Drosophila melanogaster: one gene and its partner. The protein of the gene in region 1 interacts with the protein of each later gene in a pairwise test. Each region holds a gene or a part of one and is shown in the gene's direction. Other genes may lie near its edges.

Evidence for each region.
Region 2: the proteins of shep (region 1) and rn interact in a two-hybrid assay, tested with the Drosophila melanogaster proteins (one large-scale study listed by BioGRID).

The regions. Positions count from the first base shown.
Region 1 is NT_037436.4:5,269,302-5,284,904, reverse strand, and holds the start of shep (alan shepard), read left to right. Parts: upstream 1-6,960; 5' UTR 6,961-7,291; intron 7,292-8,541; 5' UTR 8,542-8,582; coding exon 8,583-8,750; intron 8,751-11,570; exon of another isoform or gene 11,571-13,565; intron 13,566-15,603.
Region 2 is NT_033777.3:7,302,662-7,317,949, reverse strand, and holds the start of rn (rotund), read left to right. Parts: upstream 1-8,320; 5' UTR 8,321-8,920; intron 8,921-9,474; 5' UTR 9,475-9,622; coding exon 9,623-10,093; intron 10,094-12,995; coding exon of another isoform or gene 12,996-13,358; intron 13,359-15,288. Other genes in the region: CG10029 (uncharacterized protein), read left to right, coding at 781-1,343, 1,448-2,117; CG42544 (uncharacterized protein), read right to left, coding at 12,996-13,358. UniProt on the Drosophila melanogaster protein: Transcription factor involved in imaginal disks development. Isoform rn is required in the wings, antenna, haltere, proboscis and legs disks, while isoform roe is required in the eye disk.

The DNA.
Region 1 (15,603 bases):
GAATTTATGTCGACTGTTGGGCGGGACACGAGGCAATATTAATTTTCGCAACATTTTGCGATCTATTTGGCGGGGGAAATTGAAATTCGCATTTTGGCAAACGTTTGCAAATGAAACTTTCGCAAATGTTTTGTGGCGGAGAGATTTCTTGAAATCATGGCAAAGTATACGCAAATAAAATCTTAAATTTTTAGTTAATCCCATTTCGGGCTAGATAGTTCTTTTCACTTATCTTCAATTTTCAAACATAATTTCAAGCTGTGGCTTATGCGTGGTAATTTTGTTGCAGCATTTTAGTTTCCATCGTCTCTGGATATGTATTAACGTCAGGACATCGTCTTTAATTAGTCCAGCAAACTACAAGTTTTTAAACCCATCTAAGCCGAGCTTTCGTTTAACTTGTAATCTTTAATTACGTTAACTACAGAACAAAACGGCTTTGTCACTGGAACTAACAAAGCTGACAACTAAAATGGCCAAGGGTAGGGCAGCTTTAAATTACACGAATGTCCTGTCAAAAATACTTAGCACCGACTAACAAGGACTATATATATATGGGAGCTTTGAGGTCAGAATGAAATTGCCAGAGACAGCTGTAAATAAAGTGGGTAGCATGAAAGACACCACCGTTTTAAAGTGCCATTATTTATTGAGTACATCGAGGCCTGTAACTTCGTCCTTTCTTTTTCAATCCAGAACTTCCTTGGCTTTTTTTCTTTTTGCCTTTGGTTTTCATTATTCGGAGCGTTTTCGGCGCATGGAACATTTGCTGCCCAGCCAAGCGAAACACTCGGAATGCTGGAGAGCTGGGGTTCCATGAAGATTTCGGGGACCGTAGTTAGTTTCTTGCCTCCTTCCAGGTGACTGTGGGCAATGTCCTGTGGCGCATGATAAACGCAGTTAGGCCCTTTTTAAATATATATACATATATATATATATACACGAACAGCCCCCGAAACGCTTGGCTTCAAGTGGCCAGTGATATATATTCCGGTATAGCCATTTTTTGTTTGATAAATTTAATAAATCAAGTGATTGTTTTGGCTGGAAATGCAATCGTTTGTACATAATAGATGGCATTTTATTTATTGCCCTGCCCGCCGGCTAATGAATGCTTATTAATAACCCGATTAGGGTGAAAGCAAAGCGGATTGGATTTAGGTCCACATAGAACAAAATAAATATCAATAGATTTACGCATTTATATAGCAAAATAGTTAAAAAGGATAAAACCAATCGTAATGAGTTATATTGTTAAAAAGATTTCCAAAGCTACAATCCTGTAATAATAATTTAATGAGTCATTTATTCTGTTAATAAACACATTTCTTAATGTGGTTTACTATTTTTTTTCTGTGTACAAAAGTCATCTAGCTCATATTCAAGATCTACTCAAATGAATTCCCAATCAAATTAGGTCTAATCGAATCAGCCAGTAGGCAATCGCTGGTTCCCAGTCACTGTTCTAGGATAATTTAATTTTAGCCCAAGAAAGAAAATAATATACGAACACCGCCAAGGATAAATTTTCCTTGTTTTTTTGGAAGTGATGTCCTGAAAAGGGTTTTACCAGCCAACAAGGAAAAGGCACTATCCTTTACCGATTGCGAGCGGAAAATGTGAGTCCGAATCTGTTTTCTGTTCGCACAGATGTTTACGCGGTTTAAAGCTCGTTAGCGCCCCCGGAAAATGGAGGGGGGGAGGGGTGTGGTTTTTGGGTTTATGCAGAGGGTTGTGGTTCGCCGGCTGAAACATTTTGCGGGGTCTACAGCCCGGCAATTTGGAGTCATTGCGGCCTCGGACTTGAGAGATAATAGAACTACGACCGCAAATATTGCCTACAAAAGTGGGTTGAAGAAGAAGTAAATGGGTAGATAAAGGGAGGTTTGTTTGCCCAGCATTGTGGCAAAAAGGATTAATACCAAAGCAGATTAGATTGTCAAAATGCGACAGCTTGCCGCCGCTGCGTGGGAAATTTCCTACTCACCACTTTTTTTTCCCATCCAATGGGATTTTGACCAAAACCGAAAACTGTAACAGAGTTATCAACATTTTGACAGCTTCAATTGCGGAAGAACAACAGAATTATGCCAAAAACAATAAGCCGATTTCAGGGCGAACTAGCTAGAATTAAGTACTTAAAAATTGCAGATTTCGCAAACGAAAGTCAGAACTTTAATTTAATGCCATTTATGTACATCAGTAATAAGCTTAGATGGTTTATTTAAGTTGTGAATTAGTTGTTAAATATGAATGAGTTAGAATGATTAGCCCAATGATACGAACAATTATACATCATAACTGAATGCTATAATATATTAAGGCTGTGACCCTTTTTGCTATTATTTAACAGGCAAAATACTTCATCGTAGCTTAATGAAGTTTAAAGTTAGTTTATAAGCCTTTCCCTTTAAGCCAGTTGAGTATCTTTTGGCCCACACATTTTGCAGATCAATCACTCACCCAAAATGCTGTGATTTTTCCCAACTTTGGACAGGAGTCTGGCAGCATCCACTAATGAAGTTGGTCTTCAAGGAGCTAAAAAACAATTTGTATACCAAAAATGGCAACAACGCCTTTAGGAAGTTTTTTTTATTAAGCTATCAATCAGTCTGCAAAAACTTTTAAACAGTAGAAACCTTTAAGAGAAGGACAAACCAGAAAAAAAATCAGATATATTTTTTATAATATACATAATCAATAAAAATTACAACAAATGTTTCCCTCTTATCCGCATAGCCATAAATATTTGTGAGTATTTTTCAAAATTCCTAATCATAATCAACATTTGCAGCTTTAACAACAAAATTATGATCGGCAGATACGATGCCAAAGAACCATTTTCATTTGCCGCCTAATGGATTTTCCGGGGACCGACGAGTGGCTGCAGCACTGGGGCCGGAAAAGTGGGCGTGGTATTCCCCTGACATAGAGTTAAGGAAAGGAAAGGAAAGGAAAGGAAAGCCGCAGATGCCGCCGCAGCATGTGTGTGCGTTTGAGCGCCTTGCCACTTTCAGTTAATTCCCTTCACTTGGTCGTAAACTTTACGCATTCACTGTAATCAAATTTTATGAAATGCTCAGACCCAGTTGTCTTCGTTTTTGGCTCTTTTGTTCAAAGGGGATATTCACTGTGGCCATGTGTGTATGTGGATGGTGCACTTTAATGTTTGTACTATGGTTTTCGGATGGCTGAAGCTCTGTGTTTGCGGCCTTTGAGTGAAAATTTTGCGGCATAGATAATTAAATAATAAATTGTTGTAATGTCTACATTTGCGCCCTTCGACTGTTGCATTTGGCTGAAAGATCATAAATGATTTATATGCACATTGAATGCGTCGACAATAGATTTAATTTAACGATGTCTTGGCGACGATGATGGCGATAATGATGATGCCGGCGACGCCGCCATTTTGGCTTTGCTCCACCATGGCTTTCCCGCTTTTCCGCCTTTTCCCTAGGATTCTCCCCACACACACACACACACACACACACACCCGTCGAGGTAATTACGCGGAAATGGTTGAGCAGGAGGAAGGGAAATGGGCCAGCCAACATCAATATTCTTCCTTCATTCGCATATTAAATCTATGTCATTTTATATAAATTAATTTCACCAATGACATTCAATGTCTGCTCGGTCGAAAATGGATTATGAACGTAATATATTGCAAATATGGGGATGTTCTTTGATGTGTATTTGTGAACATATTAATGTGGTATCGACAACCAAAGCGAAGAACATCGATGGTGGCATTTAATTTGGAAATAAGGATGGGGATTGTTTTCTTGTATAATTATGTGTGTAATAATACCAGTTTGTCGTGGATTTTTAAAGTGAATAACAAGTTGTATAAGTGATAAATCATATTTTATATGATATCCTCGTTTTTTTCCCCACCTCCTGCGTAGGAAAACCTTGAACTGAGATGCTAGCCATTCATGGCCGAGCAATTACCGACTGCAGTTTGATTGAATTTAAATTCTCGAGCTCGCCTTGAGCACTCCTTATCTGAAAGTCAGTCGTGTCCTGTGACAACCTCTGCCTCTGCCTGCGCACATTTCTCTCCTTGGGCGAGTCATAAATTATCCTTAGATCACGCGCCAACAAAAGCGTTTCGTACACTTCACTTGCTCTGGTTCTGTAGTTTTCCCTATTGTTTTTTTCTGTTTTTTTTTGGTCCTTACGCAGTGACCTATACAATGCATTCCATTGGGAAACTAGTGGTTGTAGTTCCTGGCCTGTAGACCCTTAGATTCCATGATTCTATCGTTTTTTTTTTTATTTTTTAACTAGCTTGAATTCCTGGCAGTCACATGCCGACAGAGGCGCAGCGCCAAGATGATGGAAACAGCTGACATTTCACTTTCTTGATGCGATTACGCAGCGAGGAGTGCCCACTGCACCCCATCGCCTCCACTTGCTTTGCCACCCCCTCACTCGCCGCTTTTCCGGCCTTTTCGCCCACACTGCAAATTGCTTACGGTCACGTAGCAGCGTTGCCCCCGCCCCCCTCCCCTATGGCTCGCTTCCCCCGAAAGCCCTTACTTCTCCTTTTTGCTGCTGTTGCGCGACAAGAATTTTTTCGCTTCAAGCGGTGGCCAAGAAACTCTACACTGAGCAAAAATGTGTCTACATTGTATCAATGTGGATCATATATAAAGTATGTGTTTTTTTGTTTTGCAAATAGCCCAAATAAATTAATGTTCTTACTTCATAAAATAAAAAACAATAAAACTGAAAGACGGGTAAGTTAACTTATTAATTTTCTGACATTTAAATTTACTAAACAAAAATATTTTTTAAGCCACATCCTAAAAAATATCAATAATTTTCCTACCAACGCAAGCTGAAAAACTATGTATGAAAGGCAGGCAGGCAGTGTAGGAAAAAATGGGTTTTGGAGTGGGCAACAAAAGGAAAATGGTGCCAAACTTAATGAAAATACCAACGCGTCGTCATTTTGGCCGCAGAGAGGCTGTTGCCACGCCCCCTCCCCCCCTCCACCGATCCGCTGGCAACTTTCCACCCCCCAAGCCCATCCATCTTGCATGCCATTTTCCCGTTCTACCAATATGTTATTTTTCATGCGTTTTAGACGAAAGTGTTTCAGCCCACTGTGCGTGAGATACTGTCTTCTTTTTTTTTACTATCTGCCCCATCTTTCGATTTATTGGCGTTTTTTGATTTCTTGGCCCATTTTTCAGATACAGTAGTTTCTCTATTGTTGTCTAGAAAGATTTCATTTAAAGGTTGTAGTTAATTATTGCAGGGACAAACAATAATATAATAAAGTACAATTTTTTTTCAAAATTTTGGATGTCCAAATTATTAGGTATACATATTTATTTAACTTTCTTTACCAGTTTTCACTGTTTTAAAATTCGTTGATTTCTTGCTTCATTTTTGTTGTATATTGTTTTTCTGCCGCTGCTGCTTTGGAAAATTTGCATATCTCGATAGTGTCAGTAAATTTGCATATTTAAGATAAATTTAAATTCCTTGCATGTTTTGTTGTATTAACATTTTTTTTTTGTTCCATCCAATTTCATTTCGAGTATTGTCCTTTCTGTCTGCTCCTGATGCTGCTTCTTGTTTGTTGGTCCTGGCCCATTCTTCAAATTTTGTCGTTGCTATTGCAAATTTATTGTTTGTAGGCTTATGGGGCGGTGGGAGTGGCAGTACAGGCTGTCTTCATATATGTATTTATACTTGGAGATGTTACAGTCGCGAGTCAAGTAATTAGATATAAAAGCTTAATTGTAAAAAAAAGTTGTTATCTATTGAAATGTATCAAGCTGGATAAAAATAAAATATATATATATATTTAAAATCAAAGTCGCCGTAAAAGTTTAAATGTTTATATTTTTTCGCCCGCTGCTGTCTGAGTGGTTGGGTTTTATGTGGGCAGTGGGCGTGGCAGTGCTTTACAATGCGTGGGAGTCGCTCTCATTTCGATTTTTTCAGTTTTAACCCCCTATCTGCTTATTTTTCGTTGTCGTCATCATGCATCATTTGTTTAGTCCCTTAGTCCTTTGTTATGTGCCAAAAGCTATGGGGCGGTGGGTGGTGGTTGGTGAAAAGCGGGCGGAAGGACGTGTGGTGTGTGTCGCCCTTTTATGCGACGCACTTGTTGAGAATATTAATTTTATTTAAATATTTCAAAATAACACACTAGATGCTGTTGCTGGCTTTACAGTTTTTGGTGCACACGTTTTTATTTTATTTTTTTTTTTATTTTGCGCCATTTGCGTAATGAACTGATATAATGGGATTGGGAAAACTGACAACCATGTGTATCAAATTTGAAAAAGGAAAGTTATATAAACTTAGCACTGAAAATAGGCTTTTAAAATGGTGATTTTAATTGGTTAAATCGGATCTTTATTTTTGATTAGTGACGAAATGTAATGACGAAAACTTTGTATGCAATGCATATTTTCGAATATTTACAATGTTATTTCGATTTTTTAATTAATAATCTTGAATTTTATTCCAGAAAATAAAAAAAATATAATGCATGAAATTAATAAAATTGTTATAAATAATACAGTAGAAACCCGAAAGAGTTTCGTTAAACAGCAAAGCGCAAGCTAATAAGAGGCAATAAGAAGAGAAATTTTCTAAGAGAGTACAATTTGAAGAGAAGAAATATATACAGTAGCGGAAAAAGGAGTATGTACACAGAATATATTTGCTACACGGCCACATATCCAACCCGAAGTTAAAGTTCTTGTGCTATTTTATTAAGACCTTTATTATTATGCTACTCGCCGCTGAAAATTCTTTTTTACACAATGTTTAAACTACATAGAGTAAAAGAAAATATTTAATATTATGAGTCGCACCTAGACTATTTTCCGCTACTGTAGATTGCTGTAAATTAAGCGAGAGAGCGAAGAGAGCATTGCCGGCAGAAAAGGAAGAAGAAGAAGCTCATACCATTGCCGATTGCTGTCGCGTTGCGCTTTCTTCGTTTTTTTCGGCTGCGCAAACTTATATTTTGTCGTTGTAATATTTTGCATAAATATATAAATTAAAACGCGTGACGGAACAACAAACAAATAACGAAGACAGCAAAATAAAAGGGCGAAAAATCGAAACGAAAACGAGTCGAATTACTTTCAAGTGCAAATAGTGTGCGTGGGCGTGAGATTGTGTGTGTGTGTTGTGTTTGTGCGACTGTGAGTGCGTGTGTTTGTGTGCAAAAAAAAAACAGAACGTGCAACAAGAAGCAAGAAGAAGAGCCATCAGCAGCTGACAAACCAGCAATAAAACGAAATTTCAATAAGTAAGCAACATTTAGGCAAAGCTAAAATCCAAAAGCAAATCGAACAAGAGGAAAAACTACCTTTGGAAGCCCCGCAAAGCAGACGTAACAATGGCAAAAGCAACAAATTTGCGGCTCTCAGCTAATTGAAAGCGAATGTTGTTGTTTTAGAGCAATGCACTCGATAAAAAATACATAAAGCAATGGCATAAAAATACAAAAATAAGAACGGCACAGCACAGCAGACGAAAAACAATAATACAACTGGGAAAAACGAAAAAGTCAAATGAGAGAAAGAGAGAGAGAGCAATAATTATTTAAATCTTATCGCAGTGCAAATTTATTTTTCACCTTTTGCTTTGCTCACTTGTTGTTTGCCGGTGCTCTTTCCACCCGCTCTTTGTTCTCTCTCTCTCTACTCTCTTTCTCTTGTGCACTGCGCTCTCCTTCTCTATTTTGCTGTCATTGTCCTTAAATAAGCAATAACAAAAAATAGCAACAACAACAAGTGCAATTGATAAAAAGCAATAGCGTAAAAACAATTGAATAATTTCCTCCGCATATCAATAAATTATTGTGTGTTCCTGTGTGTTTGTGGCTGTCTGGCGGCATATAAATAAATTTGCAAACCAAAAAAAATTGGCTGGCCTGTGCTGTGTGCTATTTTTAATGCCAAAATGCAAATGTTGCAACTGCCGCGCGGGAAAGAGACAGAAACAGTGCTAAAATAACTCGCTGAATGCTCCGTTGCAAGTAAAAAAAACAATTTAAGACGGGTGGTGCTAATAATAATCAACAAAGTTGCTAGTGAAATATTAATAACAAATTATAAGCACGGCAAAATAAGCTGAATATGGCACAGAATGCTAAAAAGAAGCAATAAAAATAGAGAGTGGGAGAGAGAAAGAAGAGTGCAGAGAACAGTGTTGCCGTGCGGCAGTCAGAGCAAACGGGTTGGGCTGTAAAAAAGTGGTAGAAAAATAGACGAAAAGTTTAATTAGCAGAAAAAATACTGACCTCATTTTATACATTAAAATATATAATCTTTGTTTTATTATTTAATAATAATAATGATTTAATTAATTACAAACAAACTGTCATAATTAATTTAGGTTGAGCAGTTGATCTGTATAAAAAATGGGGTCTAGTTAAGACTGTATCTCCAATTAATGCAAATGTTTATATCTGCAACGTCTTAAGATTATAGAATATTTACAATTATGACTCATTCTTTCTAATCTGCATTATCTCATTTACTCCCCTTTTCGCAGTCACAAGTCAATTTAAGAGTGCTATTAAGAAACTAGAAAAAATGCACCCACGATACAGCCCAGCCCCGCCCCCTCAGCAACAGCAACAGATGGGCGGACCGCCACACCAGCAGCAGGGCGGCGGGGGAGGTGGAGGCGTTAGCATGAGGGGGCCATCGAATGCCCAGCAATTGCCGCCGCAGATTCCGAGATCCCAGAACTATTCAAACGTAAGTCAAATACATATTGCATCTTTATAATACAGACAATATTAGAATATCTATTATTTAACTGAAGTGTACAGTTTTACGAAAATGATTTAAGTCTTAAAACGTAGAAAGTCACCATTACCCCTTCGAAACTCGAAAGCAATTCGAAATAGCCTGTTAAAAAAAAAGTGTTGGGCAAACATTTAAGCAATCAGAGATCAACAAAGGCATCAATCAATCAATAGCTTCGTGCATCAATCAAGCAATCAAACGGCTCACTCGGTCGCACTCTCGCCAGTCAGTCATTCAGTCAGTCACACAGTCACTCACTCAATCGCTCATTCAAATCGGACTCAGGCTGATGATTTTTGATTCTGATGCTTCTTTCCACATAGAAGGCGCCATTTTTGCCTTGCGGCCGATAGGGGGCGCCACTGCAATCGACATGTGTCATACGCAGCGTCCTTTAAATCCGGGAAATGCGGGACGAAAATGGGTGAAAAATCACGGGGGAAAAACTGTGGGAATCGAGAAACCAGAGGGAACCGAGTACGCATTTGAGTGGAAAATTGCTCTCGCTGATGCGGCTGCCACGGCCTGGCAATGATATGGATTTCTTCTAACCATTTTCCCCATCAATTTCCTGACAGTTGCAGTGCAGGCAGTCTAATCTCTCGATGAGAGAATCGGGCCAATAGTGCCACATTATCCTTATACCTGAAAAATCATTACTGGCCAGCAAAGAAAGGAGCATTTTAGCTGGATTTCCTTTTTGCTAATTTCAATGGTATTACACGTTTTAAGGGGGTGTAATGTTTTGTGCATTGTGTAATTTCCATCATAATTTATGCATTTGCTTTCTAAGCATCAGCAACGCACAAAAAAAAAATGAAAAAAATGGAAAAAAAAATGTAAAGCATGAAATGGAAATCGCACAAAGGCAACATTTGTAAGTAGTACCCTTCGTCCTTCCTCAACTGACGAAATCCGGTTTACCTGCGTGTTATACGAATGCACAGCAAACGATATGGTAAAATTTGTTAAGGGATCTTTATATACGATCTTATCTATCAATAAAAAGTTAAAATAAAAAACAAATCTAATTAATAAACCATAATATCTACGATATAGTATATTTACTACACCGGTTTTTCCAATTTCTCTTGGTGTATATGTTGTATATATGTTTGCCATATAATAAACTATTCAAAGCTTCTGCGGCATAATACTAAGAGATGGGGGCGGTGTGTGGTACGAATCTGGGGCTGATGTTGCTCGTTTGCTGCGTTTTTAGGTAGCCCAATCCAATCCCCTCACCAGACTCCTTGCAATCCCTCCAGGTGTGCTCGCTTTGTAGGCAACATCTATTTGGCATCCTCTAATGGCCAACAGGCGTTGCTTTGGCTTTTTTTCACGGGAACGTTCTTTCATTTAAACAGCTTTCAACTTACGGCAGCAACAACAACACGCTGGCGGACCACATGAAAATAAAAATTCTGGGAAAAAGAAAAACTTGTTGTTGAGGGTGGTGAAAATACGGCAAAAATTGTAAACATTCGCGCTTAGTCAGCGCCTCAGTCGACGTCAGTTATTGTGGCTGGAATGAAAATTATATTTCGCATTTTGTGTCCTACACAGGAAAATGAAGAAAGGAAAGTAAATAAATAAAAGAGAAAACGGGCAAGTTGCTGAAGTTTATGGAGTTAAGAGAAGATATATATATATATATATATATTTAAAATTACTTTGGACCGCACTTTGTGATGAAAATGGGCGCGTTTTTATGGCTAAAAATTGTATATGTCAAGTTTGGAGAGAGTTTTGGATATTAAATTTTCAAAAAGTTTGAGTGGCCAAACAAAATCATTTCTTTATGACTTTTACTGTAGCTAAAACTGCAAGTGCAAGAGGATGTCAGAATCTAGGAAAACTCCGTTATCGCACTTTCCAGCTTTAGGATTTTTCTTTTTATAATTCTGATTGAAATTCCCATTTTGTTCATTATTTACATATTTTCAGCTCTTTCAAAGTTGAATCTGTGCATTCCCATTTTCCAACTGTCATTTAAACTAATCCGTTTGATAAACTAGAAGCTACAGAAAACGAAATATTTCCCTTCGGCATTCTCCGACTTGTCAGTCTAAGTTCTTATTTCCCACTTCAGTAATTAGGAAATTAAATACTTTCCTGCAGAGTCCAAAAGGAAATATCATTTACACTCTTTTGATTCGTTTTTCCTACCCCAGTTTTGGATTTTACCTGAATAATTTGTTATCCCTGCCCTTCTCATACCCGCGTATAATTTTCTCTTTGGCATTTTCTATTTGAGTTTCGTAGCCGAAAATGTTTCGAGAAAGAACTTTACAGTGTTTGAGTTTGTGCGCTAAAAAGTTTGTGCAACACAAAATATTTATATTTCTTATATAAAAAAAGTTTTGTGAGCTTGGTCACGTAGTAATTTGTGATTAAATTCAATGTTGACAATTGCAAGAGCAGGCCGAAGTTGTTAAGGTAATTGCGACCATATAGGCTGGGATGCATTTCAATTGAGCAAGCTCCTGCTGACCAGACGGCAATGATGGGGATATATGTTACTCCAACTCCGACTGAAATTGCAGTGCTGAATGGCATACGAAACGCCTTTGAGTTCTGCGCCTGCGTCGGCTTGTGGATCCTGTTGCTGGAAAACAATTTTGCCGGCTCCCCAATGCATTTGAGGACACGAAGTCGGGAAAACCGAAGCTGGAAAGCCGAAACGAATCTGCCAGGCTGAGCTGAGGCCTTACTCAAAAACCTTACTCAATGAGAAATTCAGAATCCATTCGACGATTGTCAAGTTCAGTTACAAACGCCTTTTCCTCATTTTGCGCACCACAAAAGCGGAAAGCGACCACAGAGCCCCAAGCACACTGAGATTGCCGGAGACAACCAACAGCCAAGTCTGAAGCCAAAATCGAATCGAAGTCCTAATCGAATATCAAATTCAAGCCCAAAACCAAATCCTACTATTAACAAATAGCCAATAGCGAGGAGTTCACGAAGGAGTCCTGCAAACACATCCTTTCAACACAGTGCAAGCTCGCCATTTTGTGTTTTTTCGAAATAGAAAAAGTTTTTAAAAGCCATACCGCAAGATTCTGCATTAAATATATACATACATATATTTATATTTCCATTTTTCCGTGCGTATACGTAATCTGCGTCGAAGTCAGTTCATTCTGTCCATGATTTACAAATATATTTATACATAATTAGCCACTGAGAGAACCGCGAAGTGTAAAGTGCAAGTGAAGTTCAGTATTATTTACAAGGCGTGAAAATCGAAAAAGTTTACACCAAATATTCTGCTCAAGAACTCACTACTCAAAGTAGTCCAAGGATTCCAGTCTCTCAGCGCAACAATTGTCAGCGAAAATTCCTACGAATCTTAGCCAACTAAGAACTCTAATTAAAGTCAGACGAAAGCACAACTACAAAGGGTTAAAAACTCTGAAAGTAAGAAAGAAATTAACTAAATATTAAAGGAATCTTCGAAGTGAACACCAAAGCAAAGATCTACAGTATTATTTTGAATAAGAAATATATAAAACACACTCTAAGCGATAAATAGAGACAATAAAGTTGAAATAAAAAAAACCAAATTAAATTTGTGACTCTAGCCTAAAAGTAAACACATAAACCCTAGCTTAATTGTGAGTGAAAAAGATTTAGCAAATTGCCATTAAAAAAAAAAAAGAAAACCAAAAATTAGTTGAAAAAGCTTAGCTTGAATAAAACAAATAAAAAAAACGAAAATAATTGTGTCTATCGATGTGTGTGCTTAAGTAACTGCAAATCAAGTAAATAAAATTTCAACTTAAATAAGTGTTCAGTGTTTAGCCAATATAAAATCGCATAGCAAACTAGTCAATGTTCTTCATAATAAGAAATCAATAGGAAAACTTCAAAACAAAGGCCCAGATAGTCGCAAATAATAAGGCGGAAAAAAAAAACCGACGCAAGCCCAGGAAATCAATTTACAATCAAACCTGCTCACCATTAGCCATTAAAATTGCGTCAATCAAGAGAAAAACCTCGCCATTGCCCGCAGCAACATCGAAGCTAGCCAATTTCAGCCAACAGGACCCACAGCAGGAGCAGGAGCAAAAGTCCGGCGAATTTAAGGCAGCAGCTGTCAGCCAATTGGTGGCAACAGTTGTCCAGACAACAACAACATCCGTAGCAGCAGCAGCAGCAGCGGCGGCAGGAGCAGCAACAGTAGCAGCAGCAGCAACAGTAGCAGCAACATCGAAAGGAGCAACATCCGCAGGAGCAACACAGCCAGCCGCTAAATATCCTAAGGCCAGCTCCTTGAGCCAGCAGCAGCAAACACCACCACCACCGCCGCCGCCGCCACCAGCAACAACAACAACAACACCACCACCACCACAGGAAGCCGCAGCGGCAGCAACAACAACAAGTGTTGCCGGGACAACAGGAACAGCAGTCGCAGCAAAGGCTAGCAAAACCACAAGCAGAACAAGCAGCAGCAGCAGCAGCAGCAGCGACAGCAGCAACATAAACAGCAGCAGCAAAAGCGGCAACAGCAGCAGCGGCAGCAGCAGCAGCAGTAACTGCAACAGCAACACCTGCAACAGCAGCAGCAACACCACCAGCACCACCACGACGCTGTACACGTGCTCCAGCACCTCCTCGTCGCTGATTGCCCAGCCGCCGCCAACAAAGATATTTAAGACGGATCACCATCTGTGCGCCGCCTACGGACTGCCGACCGCCACCGCCGCCGCTGCTGTTGGTGGGCATCCCTGCGTCTACTGCGTGATACCTGTGCCCGTGGTGAGTGTCCTTTGCGTGGGTCCGAGGTCCTTCAGAAAAAATCCTGTGTCTGTTAATATGCCATACTCTGGAAATTTAATTTAAATTATACAATTTGGGAATATACCTCTTGATGGAATTGAGTTTGAGTATTTATAAGAAATTTGTTGTTTAGGAGTGGCTTAATATTAATAACTTGAATTCATAACATTTAAACTAAGCTAACATTTAGCTCCAACTTTTTTGTGAGTGTGTCATTAGCATAGGCTCCTTTTGATTTTTTAGAGTCATTAAATATTGAAATAATTACGTTGTGTGGGGCCGCGGACTTGCGCTGGTATCTTCAATGCTCCATGGCCGTCGTCAATTTGCTTATCTTGCCCGATGATTATCCTGTTCCTGGCTGCGTGTCGCGTACCAGTTGGTTTCTCATTACCATTTATTATCCTCCGCTGAGGAGTGGAATTAATTTGTACTAGCAAAAAAAAAAATGCTTATATTTTCAAGTTGAAAAGAATTTTGAGCCGGCTTTGTTTTGGGGTAATCCAGGAATCGCATGAGTGGTTCACGCTGAAGAAGTTTTGAAAGGGAAATGAGTTTTTTGCTGAAGGGAATTTGTTTAACTTTTTATGACACCACAAAAAAAAAATCACATTATATTTAAATATTTTCTTAAAAGTTAGTCCATGTATAATGTATAGATTGTTGAGATTTTACCGACATAAATTACACAACTAGAAATTATACAGCTACCGCTTAAATAGAGACACTAACGGAAGACCTTATCTTGGGGAAAATAGCAAAAGTCTGAGTTGGGTAACCACCAACCCCTGGAAACCACCATAACCACCCACCAGCGAAACCACAGAGCCACTTCAAGACCCCCTTTTCCGCCCGCTGCCATTAGCAGCGTCAGCTGTTTGTCCACTTAAAGAATGCCCAGATAATCGAGGCAACAAATGTGCCTAATGTCAATGACAATAAAGACAAATTATACAAATATTTGACTAACTGACTTTGCTCACTCACTGACTGCCTGCCTAACTGACTGACTGACTGACTGACGAACTGGAATGATAATGACACCCATTGTTCGTGTGTAGAACAAGGAAAATTTCATTAAAAATCCCCACAAGCAAATGGACAAACCATTGGCCTCAAGAGGGTAGCAAAGTGGAAAACTGCCTTGGCCAGCACATTTTCAATAATTACAACGAAAATCAAGCCCAATGACCGCAAATAAATCTGAAATAATAATGATTATTAGCCTGTGTGTTTGTTTGGTCAGATGGATGTATGGGGCTTTTCCGAGGGCTGTTCGAGCATTCATAAAGCCACAAAAATGTTTTCAATTACAAATAACCATGGAGAGAGTGAAGAAAGTCCAAAGGAAAGCAACGATAAGTTCAGCAGCGGGAAAAAATGCAACTGAAAAATCTTTCCATATTATTCATTCATTTTCATTGTTGTTTGAAGGGGCGAGGTCTCTCCTCATTGTCCATTGCCAAGAGTGAAAAATGTTTTTCTCTTATTATTTCTATTTATTTTTTTATTTATTTTTTTGTTGAGTCTTCATTCTTTAGCTCCCTCTTGGGTTTTGCCATTTTTTCCTTGTACTTTTAGGGCTCAGGCGAACGAGATTTATGTAAGGCACTGTCTGAGCTCAGTGCCTTTTCTTTCTTTTCTGCTCATTTTGTTGATTCCTAATTAATTTTACTCGAAGTGAAAATGAATTGGCAAAATGCCCGGCAGACACAAAACTAAGTACAAGAAGAAAAAAAAAAAAGAAGGAAACCAAAGGGAAAATCCTTCAGTTAAAATATGTGATTTTCTTAAACATTTTGTAACTGCAATTTCTGTTTTCCTTGTGCTCCTTTCAATGTAATTGCTTGTAGAATGCTTAACATTCTCAGGTAATTTACTAAATCTTCATTGCATCTTTGTATAAAATATTTAACAAAATACAATTCAGTTTTGTATTGTATAATTTACAAAATCTTCAGTGCATCTTTGTATAAAATCTTTAACAAAATACAATTCAGTTTTGTATTATGCAAAT
Region 2 (15,288 bases), on another chromosome or scaffold:
AACGTATCTAATCAATTCTTTTAATTTCACAGTTTAGCTATAAAAAATAGAATTGTAAAATGAATATTAAATCCTATTAAAACTAAAAATACAAATAGTCTAATGTAATCCTTAAGCTAGGTACATAGTTCAGATGATCGAGCCTACGAGATTGATTTATGAATTTATTTAATCTATTAAATTTTGTTGGGTTAAATAACTAGTTTATTGTTATAAAATATATTTAAAATCTGTAGATTTTTTTTTCATTATTAAACAATTTGAATCGTAGTGAAGGTAACCCCATAACCACATAATTATACCAGTTAGTCGTAGAGTAATTATATTCACCAATATCTATCGATACGCCAATTAAAAATTAGGAAACTTCGCGTTCGCACTTCCACTAGCTAAGTAACGAGTATCTGATAGTCGTGAATTTGACTATTGCATTCTCTCTAGTTTTGAAATTTATTTGTAAATAAACAAAGAAGGAATTGCATTGTACTAAGTTCTTTTACCAGATCTGTGTAGCTACTCATATGGCCATATTTTTTATTTTTCGTTCTATATTTTTCCCCACTCATTTTCTATAGTTACAAAACAAAATTTTTGCTGTGCACCTCTACTAGCTCGAAACGGGTATCTAGTAGTCGAGGCTCTCGTTCTTGTATTGTACAAATACATAAGTTGGCAATTAAGGTGCGAAAAATTCGTTTTTGTATGCATATTACTTAAGATCTTTGCGTGTCGAAATCATACTGATTCAAAAAAAAGTTCACCAAAAGTAAGTAGTTGAAGATGAAAGTGGTCGGCAGTTTGCATATCCTCTATTCGCTGGCGATCCTAGTATCCCTACATTCTCTCGTCGCGGGAAACTCTTCGGTGGTGGCGGTGACCCACGAAAACTTGCAAGGAATAATCGATTCTAATGAGTTGGTTCTGCTTAGTTTTTACACGGATTGGTGCCGTTTTAGCCAGATTTTGCAGCCCATTTTTGAGGAGGCGGCGGCGAAGGTTATACAGAAATTCCCTGAAAACGGCCGTGTGATCCTGGGAAAAGTAAACTGCGACACTGAAGATATATTGGCCGATCAGTTTGACATACTTAAGTACCCAACGATAAAGATCGTCAGGAATGGATTGATTGGCAATCAGGAATACCGTGGCCAGAGATCGGTGGAGGCCCTTTTCCAGTTCGTGGAAAAGGAGCTATCAGATCCAATCAAAGAGTTCCATAACATTGATGACCTTAAAAACGTGGATGTTGGGTATGGAATAGTCATTGGTTATTTCATTTCCAAGGATCATGCTGAGTATGATAACTATCGCAGGGTAGCGAGCCTTTTGCGCAACGATTGTAGGTAAGTTTAATGTATCCATTGAACAACTCATAATCGATCAATATCTGTAAAACAATTTGTGGAGCTTTTGTAAACAAATCTATTAAATATATATCTAATTACAGGTTCCTTGTGGGCTTTGGTGACTTGACTAAGGACCTCCGACCGCCAGGAAAGAACGCGTTGATCTTCCGAGGCGATCCATCGATTCCGAATCACAAAAACCAGTACAGTGAGTACTTGGGCAACATGACCAGCTTTAAAGAACTAACCTTTTGGATCGATAAGACGTGTGTGCCCCTGGTGCGAGAGGTCACCTTCGATAATGCAGAGGAACTATCGGAGGAAGGATTACCATTTGTATTGCTATTTTACAACAAGGACGATCTAAGTCCCATCCAGGAGTTCAAGAACGCAATTCAAAGCCAGATGGAAAATGAGACGAGGGTTATTTTCCTGACTGCCGAAGGAGAAGTCTTTAAGCACCCACTTTTCCATTTGGGAAAGTCCCCGAGTGATTTGCCAGTGATCGCAATCGATTCCTTCATGCACATGTACCTATTTCCACGCTTCCAGGACATTTACGATCCAGGTGCCCTCAAAAAGTTCATTGATGACCTGTTCAGCGGTGCACTGCATTATAATTACCATGTGGCCCAGCAGGCTAAGGAAGATTTGGAGTCCATTATCGATCCAACTGAAGACCTGCCAGTCGTTCACGAGTCCAAGTTTAAGGACCTCAAGCCATCCAAGCACCGTTACACGTTGGTCAACCGCACAAGGGACGAGCTATAATATTATCCTACTCTACCATAATCTTTGCTCATGCTTAGGTGTAATCATTTAATATCGGTTTAAGTCAGATTCTTAAACGTAAGAATATTAATTTATTTAACTTGACGCTCAAATAAAATTAATTTGATATCAGTTGTGGTGTTATCTTGAGCAAATAATATGGTATAATATCCCCCATCGGATACAATCCGTTCTCCGACTATGAAGTAAAATATTTTCACAAGCCCATCGCCGACTTCACCAGCATTGAATGCCCCATTTTGGACGCTGTGACAAATCGCACACCCATCATATATGGGCATCTCATCAGATAGTCAGGAGATGACACGTGCCTCGATATCGATATTTCCTGGAAGATCGCCTCAATCCAGAACAGGAACGTCGATTTCATTTGAATATGCTTTGCCGACTGCTCTACACCAGACCATATAAACACTAATAAACTCATTAGTCAAGCATCTTACAAGCAAATCTCACAGGTGCAAAATGCCAATACAATAAAATTGCAGTTCTCTTTGCAATCTAAGTACAGTGAAGTGGAAACAGGACAATTTTGTATATCTTTGAAACTTAAAATATCAGTAAAAATATCAATAAAAATATAAATATATTTTTTTTAACAACAAGTATTTAAAAATGTTGACCGTACCGAACCGATGTATTCTTTAAACTACTAAAAATTTAACGACATAAATTCCAATTGATTTATTATTAAAAGATAAAGTGCACAATTTGCATTTTCGTTGACAGCTTACCACATGTATTCTAACATCTGATCGCATCACAATGTTAAATTCTCGAGGGAGTATCGCGTCCTTCCTTTTCAGGGTCTAGGCTTGGTGCTTACACTTCTACTCCAATATTGTCATAATTAATAATATCTTTATGGTCATATGCCAGCGCAAAATCGAGCGTGACTCGCGATGAAGTATCTGCCACAGCGGCGAGTGCAGCTGCAGGTGCAACTGCCTCTAATCAGCGTCAGCAGCGCGTGCCACTCGCGTTGTCACCTGCACAATTATAGAATTTTCCATAGTCGGGCAGTGCTGGCCACCAAAATGGCCTGTTCCCAAAAATGGTGTCCGCCAAGAGTCCGCGCGAAGTGTCCGCCATAAATAACTGCCAATAAATGTCAACGGTTTTGGCGCATTAACATAACAGCTACGCCGAATTCGTTGACAGGTTACTGCTTTTTCATCGAGCGCAAGACCTACCTGGGCAGCATCTTCCATCCATCCATCTACTGGCATCATTATTTCTCGGGCTAAAATTGAAATAATCGCCTTTTAATCGCCTACGCCTTGACGGGCTGACTTGGCTCCAATTACCGCTGCAATCGTTAACTCTTCTGGCTGACAGCCAAGTTGGACATGAGCCCCTTCAATTGCCACTGGGATCATCAGGCCGATCGACAATAGTCGCGGAAGTCACGTGCGGAAGTTTTCCAACTTTCTCAGTTACAATGTTGGCCGACAAACATGCGAGTTCCGAATTAAAGCTGGAAAAACTTCCGTTTACAAATTACCTGTTGTCTTATTTTTTTGGAAATTAACCTAGTTTTAAAAAAAATTTTATTTAGATCTTTTTTCCGTTATTAAGATGAAGGCATGAACTGGTACTTAGTACTCATTTATATTTATGAGAAAAAGATTATAGTACGTTTGCTAAGATGGATGTTACGGGTAGCAAAGACCGTTTTCGACCTTATTCCTTATTCTTAGCTAGGTCCACTAGCCGAGTCCTATTAACAATGGCCGTCCGTATAAGATCAATATATTTATGATTCAACAAGCAGATTCTGTAAATGCCTGAGAGCGATTATGGGGTATACATACAATTAAATCGATTTTTAATAAAAATATATAGAGTAGCTGCTGACTTAAATACTCCTTATTCCTTCCTTTTAAGTTCGGAAAGATAGCTATAAAATTCATATACCAATATCCTTTTTTCAGCTGTAATAAAGCGAACGAAAATATTTAAAAAATATTTTATATTTTGTGCTTGATGTTCCCGCACTCGAAAATACGATAAATTCCCAAAGCTCAGTGAGACCCAGCTGACAATTACAATAGCAATTTGCCGTGGTCAAATGTGTGATATTTCAATTTAAACTTAACGGCGCAAGTCATTAAACGGCAGATACAACATGTACTGCAATCGGAGGGAAACAAGATGCCGCAAAAAGCGCAAATGTCGCAAAAGACGGCAAAAATCGACAGCAAAAGCAGAAATATCGGTGGCAGCCGCCATTTGAGAGAGCTCAACATATTCAAAGTTGTGCACGAGCGCGATTCCAATTTCATTTTGTGCTCGGCGACAGGGCAAAAACCATTTGCGCAGCAACAAATGAAGAAAAAACACAAACAAAACGTTTTTGTTTAATTAAATTAACAAAATACGCGTCGGATGAGCGGCTAAAAAAACTCGGTTATTTTGCACGCAGACCAACACGCCAACACGTGTTGCAGAATTGGCCCACAGATAGAGAGAGTGTGGCCAAAAGAGAGCCAATGTCAATGACTGGCTTTAAGCCTACTCTTAAGCCCTATTCTGTCCCACTTCCACTCGGCAGCCAAGTGACTCCGTCTCACTCGAGCCACCATTCAGTTGGTGGCCACTCACTCGCTCTCCATGCGAACATAGCTCATGCGCCCTGTTGTCTCGCTCTGCGGCACTCGGCCAACCCGTTCTGGCCAATCGGCAAAAAGCGGTTGAAAAACAGGCGGAGCCTCTCCGGACCCCCGATGCAACTTGGTCGGGAGCCCTCAGCCCCGAGCCCTGATCCCCGTCCAGAGGCCCAAAGCCTGGCCATAAGCCACATGCAAACCCTGCCCCTGCGCCATTGCAGCTGTCGGGAGAGTCTGTCAACCATTTGGCGTCCATGACCAAGCATGACGGCTATCTGGGCCCTGTTTGTGGTGCCACTGCTTCTGCCACTATCTCATCTCGAGTTCTGGCTTTCTGGCTGGCATTTTGACATTTCGCTCGGAGGCTTCTGGAAGCGGTGGCGCCGCACTGCAGCATCTGCAGCCACATCAGTTATCTGTTCCGCTGCGGTTTGCGGCGATAAATGTGCGCCATCATGCAACTGACTAACTGCGGACTTTGCATTGCGTTGCGGCACTGCGGTTCTGTTTCCAGATCGTGCAACTGTGTTATCCAAAGAAGTTATCCTGAACATAAAAATATGGAAAACAAAATTGTAGTATATTTCAAAAGAAATTTGAGATTTGTAAACGAAATGGGAGCTCCTTGGATAAGAAAATACATCAACTTGAAAAGACATCAAAATGTAAAATATGTTGCTTCTGCGTTTGGATACCTCGGAATTATATAAACAAGGAATGTTTTTAATAAATAATGTTTTAAATAAACAAGTATTTAAAAATTGATGTAACAGTTTTTAGTACATTCATTTAAAACAAGCTTGACGTTATAATCGAGCTTCTCGGCTATCAAATTCCCGCCACTCAGCTGGCGGAAGCGCGAGGGAAAAACTTTTCAAACTTCTTTTGAAATCTCGTAAGAAATTGAAAGGAAGAATAATAAAATAATATAATAATAATATATTTTACAAAAGTCTGGCTCGGATGGTTTGCGGGCGTTAAATGTTTTTGGCATGAAATAACATGTATTAAAATAAAAAAAAAAAAAACAGAACAATTTTCAAAAGAGTGTCGTTAGCTTTTGTGGGCGTTTGTGGATTGGGATGATCAACGGTCAAAAACCATCTTGCACTACGTAGAATCTACCTGACTAATCTCAACTTCTAAGCCTTAATTATATATATAAGAATATATATATTTATACCTGTTATATACTACTATGCCCGTTTACTCTACATGTAACGGGTATAAATACGTAATAATTTAAATGCAATTTTGTATTATATATGTACGTTTGGTATAATATGTCGTTATGTTGTCTTTATTTAAATACTATCTCATCGTTGTTGGCTGAAGGTATTTAAAAGGCGCGATCTATTATTTTACATGACACTTTGGCTTGGATTTGTTATTAAAAACATTAAAAACGTTTGCGTGAAAAATTATTTAAAAATAACTTAACAAACTTTATTCAAAAATTTTGTCAAATACCTAGATTACAAATAGCGTACTTTGATTTAAAATCTAATAAATAATTAGGATTTACCGATTTAATATATATTATACAATAAAATTTGTTATTTTTTCGTTTCTTAAAAACACATAAACTTTTTATTTTTCTTTTTTGATCATTTTCCAAGTGCTAAAAGTTATCTGAATCCATCGGTCAAAATGGCTGGTCGTCTGCAAATACAAAGTGGCATTGATGACAGTGCAAACAAGAGCGGCGACAGTCGAAATGCGATAAGGAAATTTGTGCTGCACTCAAATAAATGAAAAGCGGCACGGAAAGCGCATAAAATGGCAGCCGACAAATGGAAGACCATAAAAAATATGCAATTGCGGCGGGCGAGCCATATTAGCAGGTGAAATAATCAAATTAGCTGATAAACCGAACGGGAAACTGCTGGACATTAGGTTCCCAGTCGGTCGGAAAAACCACGATGGCTAAACGCAGCCATTTCCCAGTGATTTGAGTGAGGAAAGGCCAGCTACATCGTTGCCGTTGGGATCAAACATAGCTGCAATACTGCTCTACTGGTGCAGTACTGCAATTCTCAGTCCCCAGGTGGATGTGCCAATTGCATTGATTAACTAAATAAACGCGCAGCACTTGCATTTTAATTTCATTTATTTTGACCTTTTTCCCCGAGGAATGGCAGTTGCAGTTGTCACAGCCGAAATGCGCTGCCATTTTCCCACCCGCTGGCGACACATGTCCGTACCCATAAAAAATGCCTTGTCAGGAGTAAAAAAAAAAAAAAAACTTAAGAAAAATTAACAAAAAATATAAAACGGCAAGCACAAGCAAAAAGATGCCAGTCAAGGGGCGAGCAGTGAAAAAAGAAATAAACCAAGTGCTCCAATAAAAATTCCACCGCCTTCACCCTCGTGTCGACCTGCTCTCACACTCACACCCTCTCTTTCACGCTCGCACTCTCTCTTTTTTGCCCGCTTTTATGGTTTTTTTTTTGTTTTAAGAGCGCATCGCCGCTTTTGCCCTGCTTGCTCTTGAGCTTGGCCAACGCTGCGTATGAGTGGAATTTTTTCAGTGCCGCCGAATCATCGCTTCGCTTGAAATGAATATGTGTGATTATTAGCCGCAAAAAAGCGTGTTTCGTTTTTGCCACTGACTTTGGTAGTTTTTGCGGATTTTTAATTTGAATATTACATGTATTAAAAACTCATTACTACGCGTGGTTCGCCATCGAAGTTGGTCAATGGGCTAATGGTCTGCGGATGTGATTTTTTGTCATTTCAGCGTTTGTCTCTTGCGCAAAATTATGCATTTGGGATCGGAACGAATGTATGCTCCTATCTTCATTTTGGGTGTGGAATTTGCATTATAAAAATTTAAAAAAGGAAAATTTTAAACGTAAATAAATCAAGTTTCATTTGTACATGGTGGCAGAGGAGAGACGTAGAAATTGCAGACTAAGTAACTACATTTTTTACAAGACAATAAATAAAATAATAAAACGTTATTAAGCAATTAAATGGAAACCACTTTCCTGATAACACTTTTGATTAACCCGTCTTCGGTGGCGGACTTGAACCTTCATTGCTCGTCACCTAAACGCCCCCGTGTTTTACCATAAAGATTGAGCTATAAAAACGGAGTGCCGCATTAACCGTTCGCCGCGCAACGAGCAGCGTGCAACGTGCAGCATGCAACTCGCAATATGCTCATTCATGCTCAAAGTCAAGAGAAAAGAAAAGCCACTCAGGCAAAAAGCCCGAAATCAAATCAAAGTTGCTCAAGAGACCCGGTAGCAAAAAGCGAGCTGCAGGAAAAACCACAAACAATTTTTTCCATCGCCCCGAAGAGAGAGGGAGAGAGGCCGCGTGAGAGAGGGAGAGAGCGAGCGAACCACTTTTTGCCACTGCTTTTGGAGCAAAAGGAGTAAAAAGCTGTTGCGCAGGCGTCGCCGTCTGCCCCAAAGCCGTGCCAGCCACGAGTGCGAGAGAGAGACCGGGCGAGTGGAGCGACAGAGAGGGCAGCTATGCTGCGATTTGGCGGCGAGTGCGAGGCATTTGAATGTTTTTTTCGTGGCCGCACTCAGCATTCGAGTTCGGAATTCTTGCGAGCTGGCAGCTACTTTTTGCGCTGCTCGCTGCTGCCGCTTCTGCTGAGCCAAAGCCATAGGCAAAGTCCAAGCCAGGCTAAGCCAAACTAAACCTGGCCCAAACGGCCGGCCACTCGGCCACTGTCCACCAGTTGGCCACTTTCGCGCGCGTTCCAGCCAAGTGCACTCCTCAGTCTGCACTCTCCGTTCTGCAGTCCGCAGTCTGCAGTCTTTTTTGCCCGCGTCTCCCAATCCGCGAAGAATTCTGTCGCAAAGTGCAATGCATTTTCGCCATTCCGCAAGTGCAGCTGCTCCCCCAGCTCGCGGTATCATAATTAAAAATCGAGCCGAGTGAACTCGCAAATTGTTATCACCACACGTCGTCGTCGTCTGAGTCGGTAAAAAACAAGCCAGGCCCTCGAAAGGGTCGAAATTGGTCAAGTGTCAATGCGATCGAGGCCGTAATAAACGTGTTTCAGTGCTCCCCTGAATAGTTATTGTGATCCGCTGATCAGCTGAGTGAATGCAAGTGAACGAATATATTGAGGAGTATCCACTTACTACACGCGATAATTGCGAGAATTTCCACGAGCCACTCTGAGGAGTAGATATCGAATGGGGTTAGAAAGTAATGAAGTCATTCTATAAGTCCCAGCAGCAGCAGCAAGAAAAGACTAGCCTAATAAAATATTTATTTTAGGCCATTTTGCGGAATTAAGTTTTAAGATACTTGTTAACAATAATTTGATAAACTAGTTACAAAATTATACAAACACAAGTTAAACTGTTCCAAAAAGTATATATATTAAATATATTTAAAGCTTCCGCCTAAATCGATAATATATTATATATTTCCATATGTCCCTATAGTAAAATTATAGTTCGGTGATGATTAATAACAAAATTTACTTCAAATGGAAATATACCGTTTTTATTTTGTAAACTGAAACCATAAATTTTTCGTTTATTATGTAAACATTCCATAATTAAAAATTTTTTAAAATTATTTATGAAATCAAATCGGTTGCAACTCATTGCTCACATCACGATTCTGCTTAAATATTATTTACCTAGGTAATCCCAGCTTTCTTTTCTATTGGGTTCAGTACACTCCCGATTCAGGGATAGACGAAAGTAGTTGCTTTCTAACCACATGACTCTTTCCCTACTATTCGCATCTAGCTCGATTTCCCAAAAAGTGAACAAAACAACAAAACTAAACTAAATAGCGCGTTATTTAATTGAAACGTAAAATAGATATTCCGAGCGAACCCCCAAGTGGAACTAATTAGAATAACGCCCTGAACAACCGCCAATCGAAGGTGCTTAAATGATTATGCATGGTACCTGGTACAAGGGACCTCAGTTGGCGCACCATCCTCACTCGAATCCGCATAACAGTTCGCACGGCCACAGTGACTACCACCAGTTCCGCTCGTACCCCTCGTTCGTTGTAACGCCCTACCACGATGGCCATGTCCAGGGCCCGGCCACGCCCACTCCATGCACGGCCCCGCCAACGCCCTGCAACGGTCCAGTTCCAGTTTCAGTTCCAGTTTCGATTCCCGTCTGCCACACCGGCGGCCAAGGTTCGCCAGTAATTGTCGAGAGCTCATTTGCAATCGCCGCCGCCGCCGCTGCAGCGGCTGCTGCCGTCGCCGTCGGAGGATCCAGTGCCACGCCCCTGCTGCCCAGTCCGCCCATCAAGATCGAGCAGGTCTTTGGCGAGCCCTCTTCGCTTGGAGCCGTCGTTGAGGATTACGCGCTGGGACTAGATTGCCCCGTGGAACACACGTTTCGAGTAAGCGCACTAAAAAGTTTACAATATTATGAAAATATATTATATGAATACGACCTGGTATTATTTTATTTAATAAACACTATTAAGTACTTTAATTTGAATGCAACGGAAACTTTTATCTAGCTGATAAAATAAAACATTTACGTTGTTTTTATTGTATAGGCATTAATGATACTGATACAACCGTTTCTTTAATTATCATTTGTTAGTATGAGAGCTTGTATTCTTGGGCAAACGTTAAATCTGCTTGCCAAATTAGGAAATCTTCTAGCTTTTGAGATCTCAGACCGTTTACATAATCGAAAACACAGATAGATAATAATGATCCTAATGATACATCTTCGATTGAATAATAAATCGTTTTTTTAAGTAGAAGTAAGCTCTAATTCTACTGAAGAAGTGCAAAATTTGTGTAAGGTCATTACTCCTGAACATGGATAAATTTACCTACCCAAAACTAACTTCTTTGAATTTAGTGACATGAATATCGAATAATAATTTTTTTTAAGTTTTACTCATTTTGTATCCACTTTTAAGATATTGGTAGCCATTTGATAAATGTTTTCTTTTATTAAATAAATGAACACTTTAGGCGTTATTTAATAAAAAAAAAATAGTTAAAAGAAATCAAAGCTCATATTTTTAATCCTCACCGTTGGTTGCCATGCTTTAGCCATCCGACTGCCGTTTCCTAGCCAATTTTATAGCAGTGTATGGATAATGTTATTATGTCAAATTACTGGTTAGCATCCCCATTGGAGCAGCTGCTGCACTTGTTTGGCTCGACTCTCACCACCGAAAGTGGGCGTGCTCCAAATCAATTTCCATAAAATCATCCAATAACACTTAAAAGCCAGGCAGGGCAAAAAGCCGACAAACACAAGTGGCAGGCGAGTAAAAAACAGGAAAACAAACACGCCCCCAACTCGAAGAGCGTCAGTGAAAGAGCTCTCTCTTTCTCTCTTCGGGGAAAGCAAGAGCACCGCAAAACGGAGAGATCTCTTGTTTCGAGTGGGTTTTAATGGTAAAACGCTCAAGCTTTTGCGTCGCTTTTTCAGACGGTCCAAAGGACACTTTTTGTCGGCTTGGTTCGTGCACAGGATATCCCATAATTGCCTGGCTTACAAAGCTTTTCGCAGTCTAATGCAGATTGACTGATGGCTTCAAGTGGATGAAAGGAAATTAATGCAAATCAACAGGTGGTCCTGTGAAGTTTAAGGACATATGTCAGCCTGTGGAATAAAATATGTAATTCGAGGAATTCAAAATATGATTGATTTTTTTAATTGAATAGCAAATAATATCTTAAAAATTTTAAGTTCTCAAAATTTCTTATATTTCGTTATAAATTGATGGATTCTTATATGCGTTTCTCGTGTGCAGAAATTCCGAGAAATACATTTCAATTACCCGAAAGAAACCATTTTTTTTTTCAAACCTTTTTTGAGCTTTTAATGCATCTTAAAGGGCAAAACCATTTCCTTCTGCTGCTGGCGATGCAAAATGGACGCACGTTCCTTACGCTTATCAGGACATTTCGCCCTCATAGCCAAGCCCATGTGTATATGTGTGTGCGTGAATGCCAGCAAAGGGCAGCTGGAAATCCTTGAACATAAAAAGAAAACAAGCCAAGCATCCAGCACATGCACATAAAAACATATGCTCCTGGACAGGATTTAGTTTGGGGACGCCATCCGACGCCTTGCACTTTTTCCGACGCCGACTGCGACGCAGGCTGCGCTGCAAATGCAACTCCTCCATGCTGATACTGCCTCATTTTAAAGGGTCCTGATACTGCACCCTCGTACTTCTTATAAGCAAATCGGCTTAGACGAGCGTTTGCTAGAAAGTCTATCTCAATATAGATTAAAGGTCTTCCAGAATATATATATAATTATGGTGGAACAATGGCTTAAGAAATTGATACAATCCAATTGAGGTTGAAATGATACAAGAACATTTTTTATTTTAATTAAAAATTACATAAGTATTAGAACAATTATAAGTAGATAATAATTCATAGAAAACACAAGTCTTTTGTCCATATGGTGTCAATAACATATTTTTAAGCTTTATTGATTACTTCTATCAAGGTTCCTAGAACTAAAAAAGTTCTTAATAAGATTTGATCTCCTACTTTTCCACATCGATCTATAAGTAACTTTTAATTTACTCTTTGATCTACTTGGATCAAACAAGATGAATATTATTCAATGGATTTCCCTGCCGCACAGATGAAACTTAACTTGAGGGGGAAAATTGCAGCGGAAAATAGAAAATCATTCAGAGAAATTGCACAGCAAGCGGTAACAAACAAACAACGGGCTTCAGCTGAGCTGGGGAAAACTAGTAAGAAAAAGGGAAATAATATAAACAAAATGAAGGAAAGAAATTGGCGCTCGTGAAATGTTAACAGGGCCAGGAGGGCGCTGAGTTGAGCAGTGGCAGTGGCAGCAGAAGGATATATATCCGCAGTCATCCTCGAGCAGCGACGCCGACAGAGGCAGCGACGCCGACTGTGAAGCTGGCAGCGCTGAATGTTTTTATCCTTTCTTCGATGTGTCGTCGCGGCATATTGCTCTGCTCGTATCTGTGTGTGTGTGTGTGTCTGCGTGTGTAGCAGTGTGTTTGTGCCAGGACATCACACGGTTTCGCTTTTCTTTTACAACTTTTTGTTATTATTTCGTTTTTTGCTCGACGCCTGTAATGTATTTCTTTCAGTTTGCTGGCGTTTTTTTTTTGCTTCATGTGCAAGAAAAAAATAAGCTTTTACTTGGCTTTTTTATGTCCGAGTGTGTGTATGTGTGCGTGTTTGTTACTGCTGCTTTTCCGAGCTCTACTTCTTGAGTTTCCTTTTCGCGCGCGCCATTTCGCTGCTGCTTTCCACAGCTCCTGCTGCTACTTACCCGTACAACAAACATGGCCATAAGTCGCCGGAGCTCGCTTCCGCTCTGTCTGTTTTCCTTTTTCCACCAGTCGCCGGCTCTGCCGCAGTCGCAGTCTCGGCCGGCGTCTCAGCCGCAGTCGGCGTCGCAGTAGCTGCGATTGTTGCATGTGGTCCTGGGTTTGTTGCCTTTGGCGGGCTGCAACTCTCGTTGTCTTCAGTTCGCTTGGGCTTGGCCAAATCTATTGGTCGCGGTGCCGCGCTCACGCTCGCGTCCGTGTCCGTGTCCACATCCGCATCCGCATCCGCATCCGCGTCCGTAACCGTGTCCTTTTGCGGCCGAGAGTTGCGGCCACCGCACGCGAGATGGCGCCGCATCATGACGAGGGCTGAAAAACTCCAATTAGGATAACCGGGCTGGTGTCGGGGATGAATTTGTACATATTTAAAATCTACTGACATCCAGAGTATTAAGGACAAGGACGTGACATAAACGACTCTACCCCTTTCTTCTATTATCGATATTTGGTTATGTCCCAAGAACTCCCTGAGCTATATCAATAATATCTGATCACTATAATAAAGAACTAAAGATCCTTTTCAGCTTATTATGCTTATCTTCAACTAATAAAATAAATCAGAACTCTTATCATAGCTGATCCCAGAAGGACATGTAATAAATAATTGAAACTTCTGTTCTCTTTACGTGCTTACCAGCATATCAAAAGTACCACTATATTTTAAAAAGTTCTTAGAGTCAGAGTGAATTATACTTTAGTTTTTGGCAGGTAGATTTGGATATTGCTAACATTCGAGCACCGTCAAATATGAAAATATGCCAAACGTTGTTATTCTTGTCTACGCCTACAGCAAGCACGTCTTTTTGAAGAAAAACAGGCACACAGGACCTATTATAGGATGTGCAGCACACACACATATAAGCGCCGCTTGAAGACATCGAGGCGAAATCAAAATAATAAAAATCACAAACATGAGCAAACCGTATAAAAGAAACCCAATCTGCCGGAGCTCACCGTTTTCCCCCGATCTGCCGCATGTCGCGCAAATTCAGCTTTATTTTCTATTTTTCCCCATTTTTCGCTTTTCTTACAAGAAAATGCTGCAGTGCGCGCTGAAACTGCAAATGTATGTCTTTATAACGGGCAGTGTGCATATAAAAAGAAGAGAGAAGGGGGGAATTATAAAATGAAAAAGGGGCAGAAATAACAAAAACTGCAGCAGGAGGAAGGTTGAGAGGAGCAACAAAACAGTCACAACACACAAGAGTCTCAGTTAACGCACACACACACCATATTCCTTCATGTTTTGTGTGTGTGTGTGTGTGTGTGTGTGTGTGAGTGTATGTGTGTGGACTTTTGTATGTATAAAACATTCGCGCGCGCTCGCCATTTTCTTTTGCCCTGAGCTGCTGCACTTTGGCTTCCAGTTGGGCTCCTCAGTTGTTGCAGGTTATCCCACGCTCGCTGACGGACGGAGACGTAGACGGACTCACGGACAAGACATCCGGACAGGCGGACAGCCGGACGGGCAGGAGCCAACACAAGCTCACCCGGGAGACCAACTAGCAAGCACTCACTCTCAAATCTTTTCTTATCAGCATGAAATGAGGAAAATTGCGGTACATAGTTAGCTGCAGCTTTAAGCCCCGTATGCGTAATATGAACACCGGTCAACGAGGCGTATACACAATACCAAAGCAGTGCCAACACCAGGATGTCATTGAACACCACAATGGCATTGAATAAAGTTCCTTTTTATGTGAAAAAGTAAAAAAAGATAAGCCATGTTAACGCGAAGCTAAATAAAGGATTTTACGAATAAAGATCCTCAACGAAAGTGCAAAAATAAGGATAAATCATGTAAACTCCGAAAATTGTAAAATTCAACTGCAACGCAAAGTTCCTATCACCCAGTGCAAACTACATTTAGTATACAAGTGAATTATATTCACATTTCGCTTTTAACAAATAAAATAATCTACTTAGTATTTCAAATAAATAAATAAAATATTTATCAATCGAAAAATAATCTCTTAAATAATTGATGAGAAATTAAATTCACAATAAATATGCTGGAAAACGCGAATAAAAACTCACCACTAGACGACTAACTTAACCCACCTAGTGGAAAACGCAACAAACAAAACAAAACCTAAACTCCAGCCACAGAATGAAACAATCATAGATGAAAAGTAAACAAAACTCCACAGCTGAGCAAATAAATCAAAACGCAGAGACAATGAGAACCGACAAAGTGTTTACTAAACAATAAACAAAACATCAAACTGAAA